Mus musculus: one gene and its partner. The protein of the gene in region 1 binds, or shares a complex with, the protein of each later gene. Links are inferred from orthologs where the notes say so. Each region holds a gene or a part of one and is shown on either strand. Other genes may lie near its edges.

Region 1 (3,747 bases):
TGCTTGTCACGTGGAACACCCAACGAATGTGCACTTGCCTAAATGCAGAGGACCTTGTTAGAAACATTGGGCACTGACTCAGTCCCCCTGAGGAGTGGCAGCTCAGGGGGGACCTCACACAGGGACACTTATCCCCATGGCCCACCTCAGAGATGCACTGTTGAGTTGCCTGGCATCGGAATGTGGGTTACAACTGACCCAGCATTTCTGGTGTCTGGGTGTTGCCTGGACATACCATGTGACCACAGAATCTCACTGTGAGGATCTGGGAGTCTATAGATGGCTTGGTGAAGAAAGAAACAGACAGATGGCACAGCCAGCTTCCCTGGAGGACCCTCTAACATGGCAGGAGCCCTCAGCCAGATCCTCTCATTTGCTGCTTTTCTTGACCACCCTGTGGTGAAAGAGAACCCTCCCTGTATTTCTACAGTTGCCCAGGATCTACAGCCAAGAAATTATTCTAAACTTCCTTCCCCCTGCCCTCCCCCCCCCCCCCCGCCTCCTTCCTGGTTGTTGTTCTTACTTTCCAGCTTGCCTCAAACTTGTAATCCTCCTGCCTCAGCCTCTGGAGTATTGGCACAATCAACCATGCCTGGCTTAAAATGTCACTTCTGCTCTGGCTGCCCCTGTGGATGCCCCCTTCCCACCTCAAGGTCTGCTCCTGATGAGCTTTCTGCCATGTTGAGTTACTCTGCTGGTAACTTCCGAGGAGGGCTCCCATCTGGTCCCCTGGTGCTACGCTCAGACCGCAGAGGACTGTAGTCTATCATCCCAATCTTTTTTTCTTTACCTCGTCATACCAAAGACACTTCAGATTGCTCTGCAGAAACAGCACTAACAGCAGCAAGGGCCTGGAGTGCTTCAGACTGGGGGCCTGCAAACCCCTCTCTGAGCCCTCCTGACCATGTTTTGATCACCTCCCTTCACAGACAGGGAAAGTGTAACTCAACTGGGAACAATTCCAAGATTAAAGCTCCAGCTCTTGGATTTGGGTCCAGGAGAGGCAGCCAGAAGGCCTTGGGGACTCAGCCTGGGAAGTCAGGGATTCCTGATGGCTGATGGCAACCTTCTTCCCTGAGAGTATCCTCGGGCTTACAGTAAACAGAAGTCACTGATTGGGGCTCAAGCCCCCTTCAACAGGAGGGGAGGAAGCAGGGAGGGGCATGCAACTGGGAGTGAAAAGTTGAGGAGGAGTTGATGGCTATGCCCCGCCCCTTCCCAACCTCCTAAGAGGAGCCTTGCTGAGCGCTCTCCATATGTTGCTCAGTATGATGTCACTGGGGCCTACTTTGGGACAAGGGAGAAGAATAAAGTGCTTCTGAGGCACAGTTCTTTCCACAAGGCAACACGGCTGTGTCTCTCCCCAGGTGGTGCCTTGAATCACCGGGACTTCTGAGGTGACACTGCTAAAAGTCTCTGTGTGGCTCCAATAGAAAGAAACAGCCAGACGGGAAACCAGCTGCCCTGGTGTGCCCTCTAATGTGCCACAGCTCAGAGAGTCCCCTTTTAGATGTTCTTACCTGGATGACGACCTTGACGGTGGCTGTGTCCACCGTGGGTGTGCACACCAGGCCACCAGGGTGCTGGCCATCGGCACTGCGGTTCTGCAGGCCCATGGTGAAAAGCATGGGTACAGCCAGCAGCGCCGAGGCTAGCCATATGGCACTGATGAATTTCTTGGTGCGGCTGCGGGACATGAGGGTCTTGGCCTTGAAGGGATGGCAGATGGCCAAGTAGCGCTCCACACTCAGGCTGGCTACATTGAGGGCTGTGGCATAGGTGCAGGCATCTCGCAGGAAATAGTAGCCACGGCAGCCAGCATCCCCAAAGGCCCAGGGATGGTGCACCCAGATGAAGTTGTACAGCTCCACGGGCATGGCCAGCAGCAGGATGAGCAGGTCAGACAGTGCCAGGCTACCCAGGTGGTAATGCACAGTGCTCTGCAGGCTCTGCAGCGACTTCTTCCGCGCTAGAGTGAAGGCTGTCACCGAGTTGCCCACAGTGCCCACCACAAAAAGTGCCAGGTATACAGCGGTCACCAGCACCTTGGAATAAATGTCAGTGTTCACGTCCAGGTTGCTGTTGGGCTCCAGGATGGATTCTGAGGAATTGCCAGAACCATTGCTCAAGCTGAGCGCCAGGAGCATCGTCTCCAGTCCGAACTGTGGATGTGGGAAGGGCTGGGCACCGGGTTCACTTGGGGCTCCCTGCTGCACGGAGCTGTTGAGGTGCATGGTGGGCGCCAGATATGCGGCTTTGTCCTGCACCTTTGAAGGTGAAAGTCCCTCCAGGGGCAGATGAGGAGGCGCTCAGAGGAGAGGGTGTGGAAGCTAAGGGGGGCGTGCCGTCCGGCGGCGAAGCCAGCTATCCAGGAGATCCTGGGAGCTCTGGGGCTCGAGACGTGCCGGCTCAGGGATCCACTCTTCTTTCTCCTTCAGAGTCTGGGATCTGCTTTCCGGTTCTTCCTCGGCACCCCCCCTGGCTCCGAGCCTGCCTAGATCGGGGCTGCTACCGACCTCCAGATTCTGTGGTTGGTTCTCTGCACTCCTGGGTGGCAGCGATGTCCTCAGGACCGCGACCCTGCTGGCTTGTGCTTCGTTGGGCGAGCCTGTGGCGCAGAGAGGAGCGCACGCACGGCTGCCCAGCGTGCTCACCCTCGTTCTCCCTCTTCTGCTTGGAGCTCTTCCCGCACCCGACTTCGCACACCTCCTGCTGCGCCGGAGCCTGCCGGGCTCCTCGCGCTTCCACTGAGCTGGCGGCTGCGCGGCGCGCCCAGCAGTGGAGGAGGGTGGGTGTTGGAGAGTCAGAGACGCCACAGCCACTGTCCCCTCCCCACCCGGATACTGGCTGACGGTTGCTCCTGCACGCTCCCGGGGACCACCTGGGCTAGGATGAGTACCCCAGGAAGCAGAATTCCCTACCAGGCGAGGGAGAATGAGGGGATATTGGATCTTTCCTTTCAACCTCTCCTGGGCAGCACGATCTTTCTTTCACGATCGTTGGTCCCAACTTCTCCCACCCCAAAAAGAAAGCTCCCCGTAGCCGTCTTCAGCTCCCTTAGTGACACGAGGGTGTACTCGAGGGGAAGGCGGAGAAGGAGGCGGCACCCTGCTGATAAGTCAGGGCCTTTGTACAACTGCCTCGACCTCCTCCCTTCTGGGTGCCTGTGGGGTGCCAGAAGCACCCAGGGGGGCCCTCTAGCCTGTGAAGGGTCTGGTGAAGGAAAGCATAGAGCAGGAAGTTAGAGCAGCCCATCTCTCCACGCAGTCTCACGGTCTTAGCTGCCTTTGGGTATGATGGGACCTTCTGCCCTCCTGTAGCCACCTGGATTTGGTCACTAGCAGTGACTCTCAGAGCTGGTGCCCTGTCGTTTCAGAGGGGAAGGGCAGGTTTGTGGGCGACACAGAGCTGCGTCTGTCCTTGCAGGAAACCCTGAAGCCTGTGCACTCAGCCCAGCACAGCTTTTCTCAGGGGACCCTGCCCCAGTCAGGGACCCGGGGAACAAAGGTCTTTTCATCTTGTCCTCTTTGGCAGGGGCCCTGGCCAGAGCTTCCAGGCTTGCTGCCATCTTGCTTGCCCCAGGGCCCTTGCCTCTATTTCCCCACTTGGCTCTCTCAGCCTTTCTCCTGCCCTCTTCCTCCAGAAAACTCCTCCCTGGATCCTGGAGAGTCCCAGGGCAGGAGGGAAGGAAGGCTCAGGGATTGCCGTCCCTGCATGGACCTGGCTGGCTGTACCTGCTGCGCTGGA
Region 2 (3,747 bases), on another chromosome or scaffold:
TAATCTGAAGTTTAGAATGAATATTCATACACCCTCCTACCTCGGGTTAAAGCAAAGAAATTAGTTACCTTGGATGTATGCATGTTTGTCAATAGATCTGCCTCCAGGGCTCTCACATCTTCTTCTGAATCTGAATAAAATTAAAACCACACGCTTACTATGTAATCACACTTCATATAATTATATTGCAACCACCATATCTCAAATTATTTTAAAGGATTCATCTTTGAAGCTTATTGTCTTCTGTATTTAATTTCTTCAAAGCAATATTCAAAAAGAAACATATCACAGCTTAATTTTATGCTGACAGCTTCTATAGTAGAATCACTTCTAAGAAAATAAGCGCATCTTAATTTGATAAGTATTTATGATTTTGAATTGCCTATTAACTGGATCTCAGTAAAACACTTAATTATATTGTACAAGGCAGATCTTATCCAAAAAAAAAAAACCTGCACTATGTTATTCTCACCGGCAATAGTTCACACGTGAAAATATGTATGTAACAAACAACATAATGAAATATGAATACAAGTGCTGCTTCTTATTTTGGGGCAAAGCCACAGGGAATTACTCACTGGTAATTTTAGAATAAAAAAGACACTGAGATTCACTTCACTACACATGTCATCTTGTGAAACACTCTTTGAAAGAATCGGTTTCTGTTTTACACAAGAGGTTTGCATCCCGTGCTTTCAGTGTTCCGTCAGCGAGTGCAGAAATGGCTTAAGCAAAGTCAGAGCTCATCAACACATGGTAAGTCCTGCTGCAAACAGATCCGTGATTCATCTCAGAACACATTTTCCCCAGATTCCATTTATGTGTATTGCATGAAGAAGTGAAATTTAGAAATACTAAGATGTTGTAGAGCATTTAATATCCATTAGCCTCTTGTGATAATAGAAGGCAGAGCTTAAAATTGCCTCACTCTTTACTCTGTGGTCATTAAAACACAGGATTCCACCTGATGTGAGCAACTGATAAAGTATACGTAAGAGGTGAGCTATTCCAGAGACACTTTTGCTCAGTTTGTTACACATACATGCTAGCTTGTTTGTTTTTCAGATGGAATGTTAAGATTAATCTTATTAATCACTGATAAAGATGTGTCCATGTCACAGAAATTGGTTTCAAGAGTTAATATATGGTTTTTAATAAATAAGCTATTTTTAGAATCTATAACTATTTTTCTGCAACTACTTGATAATATTATAATTATGAGAATACTGCATTGGCTCATAAAATATTTACAGGATCTTACACTAATAAAATCATCAATCCATTCTGATAGTTATCTTTGCACTCAGAAAATCTTAGTTTGAGCTAACACTGCCGAATCCTGGTTATTAAGTACAATAGTAACAAATATAAGTGAATTTACTTCACTCTCTAAGATTTTCCACTGCTATGTGTTTGTTCAATTACTTTCAAATTATTAATTAAAATATACTGCAATCGTCAAAATATTTCATATTACACTTAAATTTACTTTATTTTTAAGGAGAGGCAATACACACCTAATGAGAATACATCCCTTCTCCTTTACTGTTATATACTGAACACTCTAACGCTAAATTTATCATACATAGTAGTATACCAGTTTTATGGTTATAGGTTGTGCCAACTCAAATTACATTCAGAAAAGCAACAGCTATATTAACACCATGACTGCCACAATGAAATTCTATAAAGATGCACTTTCACAAAGGACTTGGGACACTTTTGCTGTATTAGAGGCACTCATCTTATTTATTGCTATTTGTTCCACATGTTCTAACACACCTACAGAGTTAAAAATATTTTGAGGAAAATCACAAAGGAAAGTGAGAGAAGCCACCACCTAAGACAATGAGAAGAGATGAGAATAAGATCTCGCGAAGGAGATCTTTACTTGTCTGCAGGCTGACAAGCACTGCCTCTATTCAAATTTCCACCCTTGTCTTATTACTCATATTGATTTTCCCTTTAGTGGTCATATTCCAAAGGAGAACGTGTTGCATTTCCTTGCACCATGAACTGCTTTACAGATTTAAAAAAATATATATTTCAGTTCTTATAATCAGAATGGGAGAGAAACATGATAATTACAGTTTTTCTTTCACTAAAAGAGAGAGAGAGAGGGAGACAGAGAGAGACAGAGATACTAAGATAGAGAGACACAGAGACAGAGAGGAGAGACAGAGAGAGAGGAGAGAAAAGAGAGACACCGAGAGACAGAGACAAAGGGGGAGGAGGGAGGGTGGGAGGGAGGAAGGGAGAGAGAGAGAGAGAAAGAGAGAGAGAGAGAGAGAGAGAGAGAGAGAGAGATTCCTGGATTCATTTACCTGAGTAGCAGCAGACTGCGAGAGAAATCCCTCACTTCAGGGAGTTGTGAGATGCAGTTGAGCTTACCTGAGCACAGACTCCAGGAGCTGAAAGCCAGGAGAGTCAGGCACACCAGCTGGAGATTCATTCCTCTCATCTTCTCTCAGCCTTCTGACAAGCAGGTCCACACACTCAGACACTGAAGGAGCTAGCTCTCTCTCGGTGCTTCCTCTTGCCTTCAGCTGGCTTTCAAAGTGAGTGAACTGTGAGGGATGCTGTGGCCAGTCCCTATATATATGTGAGCAGGAGGATGATGTCATGGCTACACAGGATGTGCTCTGCCTTCATCTCCATCCCCCCTCCTTTCCCTTTGTCCCTTATCTCATCCCCCACCCGTGAACCTTGATGGAAAGTGACGATCTTCCCTAATTGCAGCTGTTGCTCAGGATTTCTGACTCACAGAAAGAGTTGTTCAAAATCACTGCCATATACAGCATAGTGAGAGGTACTTCTGGTACCTTTTTCCCCCTAATTTTCTATCATGCCCCCATTCCAGATAGTTGTCATTTTCATTTTTTAAAATGCAAGGGTTTTTTTTTTTTTTTTTGGTAATTTCTCATATTTAAGCAAAAGTTCTAGGGAGAAATCACTGCTTGGAAGTCTTAAAGACTTGGGGTATATTTTCTAGTAACACAAACTTCTGAGAACAGGCTTCGTTGTCTCAAAACTCATAGAGAATTTACATAGCATGTACTAAAATAGGAAGGGAAACAGGCAAAAGAAAATTGGATATAATAATGTAATGTGACGACGAAACATACAAAGAAAAGGGGAAAGTCAGTATAAAAGGAAGAAAATTAGATCTAATGAGTAGTTTTATATCCTACCTACTTGAAAGTTTATTATATGTAACTGAGGGGAGACTAAGTTACATATGCTGCTCTTTCATTGGATATTTTAAATAATGTTTATAAAATAAAAACACAAGTAGGTTATGTGTTAGAAGGTAAACTATGAATTGCTGTATTAATACCTCCCCAATTAACTACATAATTAATTACATATTTGCTGCATTGTTTGTTTCGTTATTTGTTACTGATGCAATATCCCCCCTCCTTTATCTCATAACTCCCCTCTCTCTGTTTCTCCCCATTCTATCAACTCTCTCTTCAGTTTAATCCTTTTTTTTTTTTGTAGAAAGCAGACTGTACTTTTAGACAGAAAAATATTCTATATAAATGCCATCCACCACAGTGACAATTCTAAGGCGAAATCTTCAGGTAATTTGTGAGTTACAATGCTCTTCTTTCCTTCTCTCCATTCTTGGAAGAAAATTGCTCAAATGCCTTTTGAGCAATAGCTTTCCTCCTGTAGACGGTCCTTGGTAACACAAGAAGTGTTCTGAACTGGTGTTAGGGGTGTGAACATTTGAAACCAAAGATT

Evidence for each region. The genes of interacting proteins can lie anywhere in the genome.
Region 2: the proteins of Ntsr1 (region 1) and Nts are in contact, whole or in part, in a crystal structure (PDB 4BUO), measured with the Rattus norvegicus proteins. The link is inferred for Mus musculus from reciprocal best matches to the Homo sapiens genes NTSR1 and NTS. Residues at the interface, in NP_001102437.1 of Rattus norvegicus: Ser53, Asp54, Leu55, Asp56, Asn58, Phe128, His132, His133, Tyr146, Met208, Val224, Cys225, Thr226, Pro227, Ile238, Arg327, Arg328, Phe331, Cys332, Tyr333, Ile334, Ser335, Asp336, Trp339, Phe344, Tyr347, His348, Tyr351; in NP_001095851.1 of Rattus norvegicus: Arg157, Arg158, Pro159, Tyr160, Ile161, Leu162.

The regions. Positions count from the first base shown.
Region 1 is NC_000068.7:180,498,905-180,502,651, reverse strand, and holds the start of Ntsr1 (neurotensin receptor type 1), read right to left. Parts: upstream 2,677-3,747; 5' UTR 2,235-2,676; coding exon 1,521-2,234; intron 1-1,520. UniProt on the Homo sapiens protein: G-protein coupled receptor for the tridecapeptide neurotensin (NTS). Signaling is effected via G proteins that activate a phosphatidylinositol-calcium second messenger system.
Region 2 is NC_000076.6:102,487,863-102,491,609, forward strand, and holds the start of Nts (neurotensin/neuromedin N precursor), read right to left. Parts: upstream 2,557-3,747; 5' UTR 2,462-2,556; coding exon 2,392-2,461; exon of another isoform or gene 2,325-2,391; intron 131-2,324; coding exon 69-130; intron 1-68. UniProt on the Homo sapiens protein: Neurotensin may play an endocrine or paracrine role in the regulation of fat metabolism. It causes contraction of smooth muscle.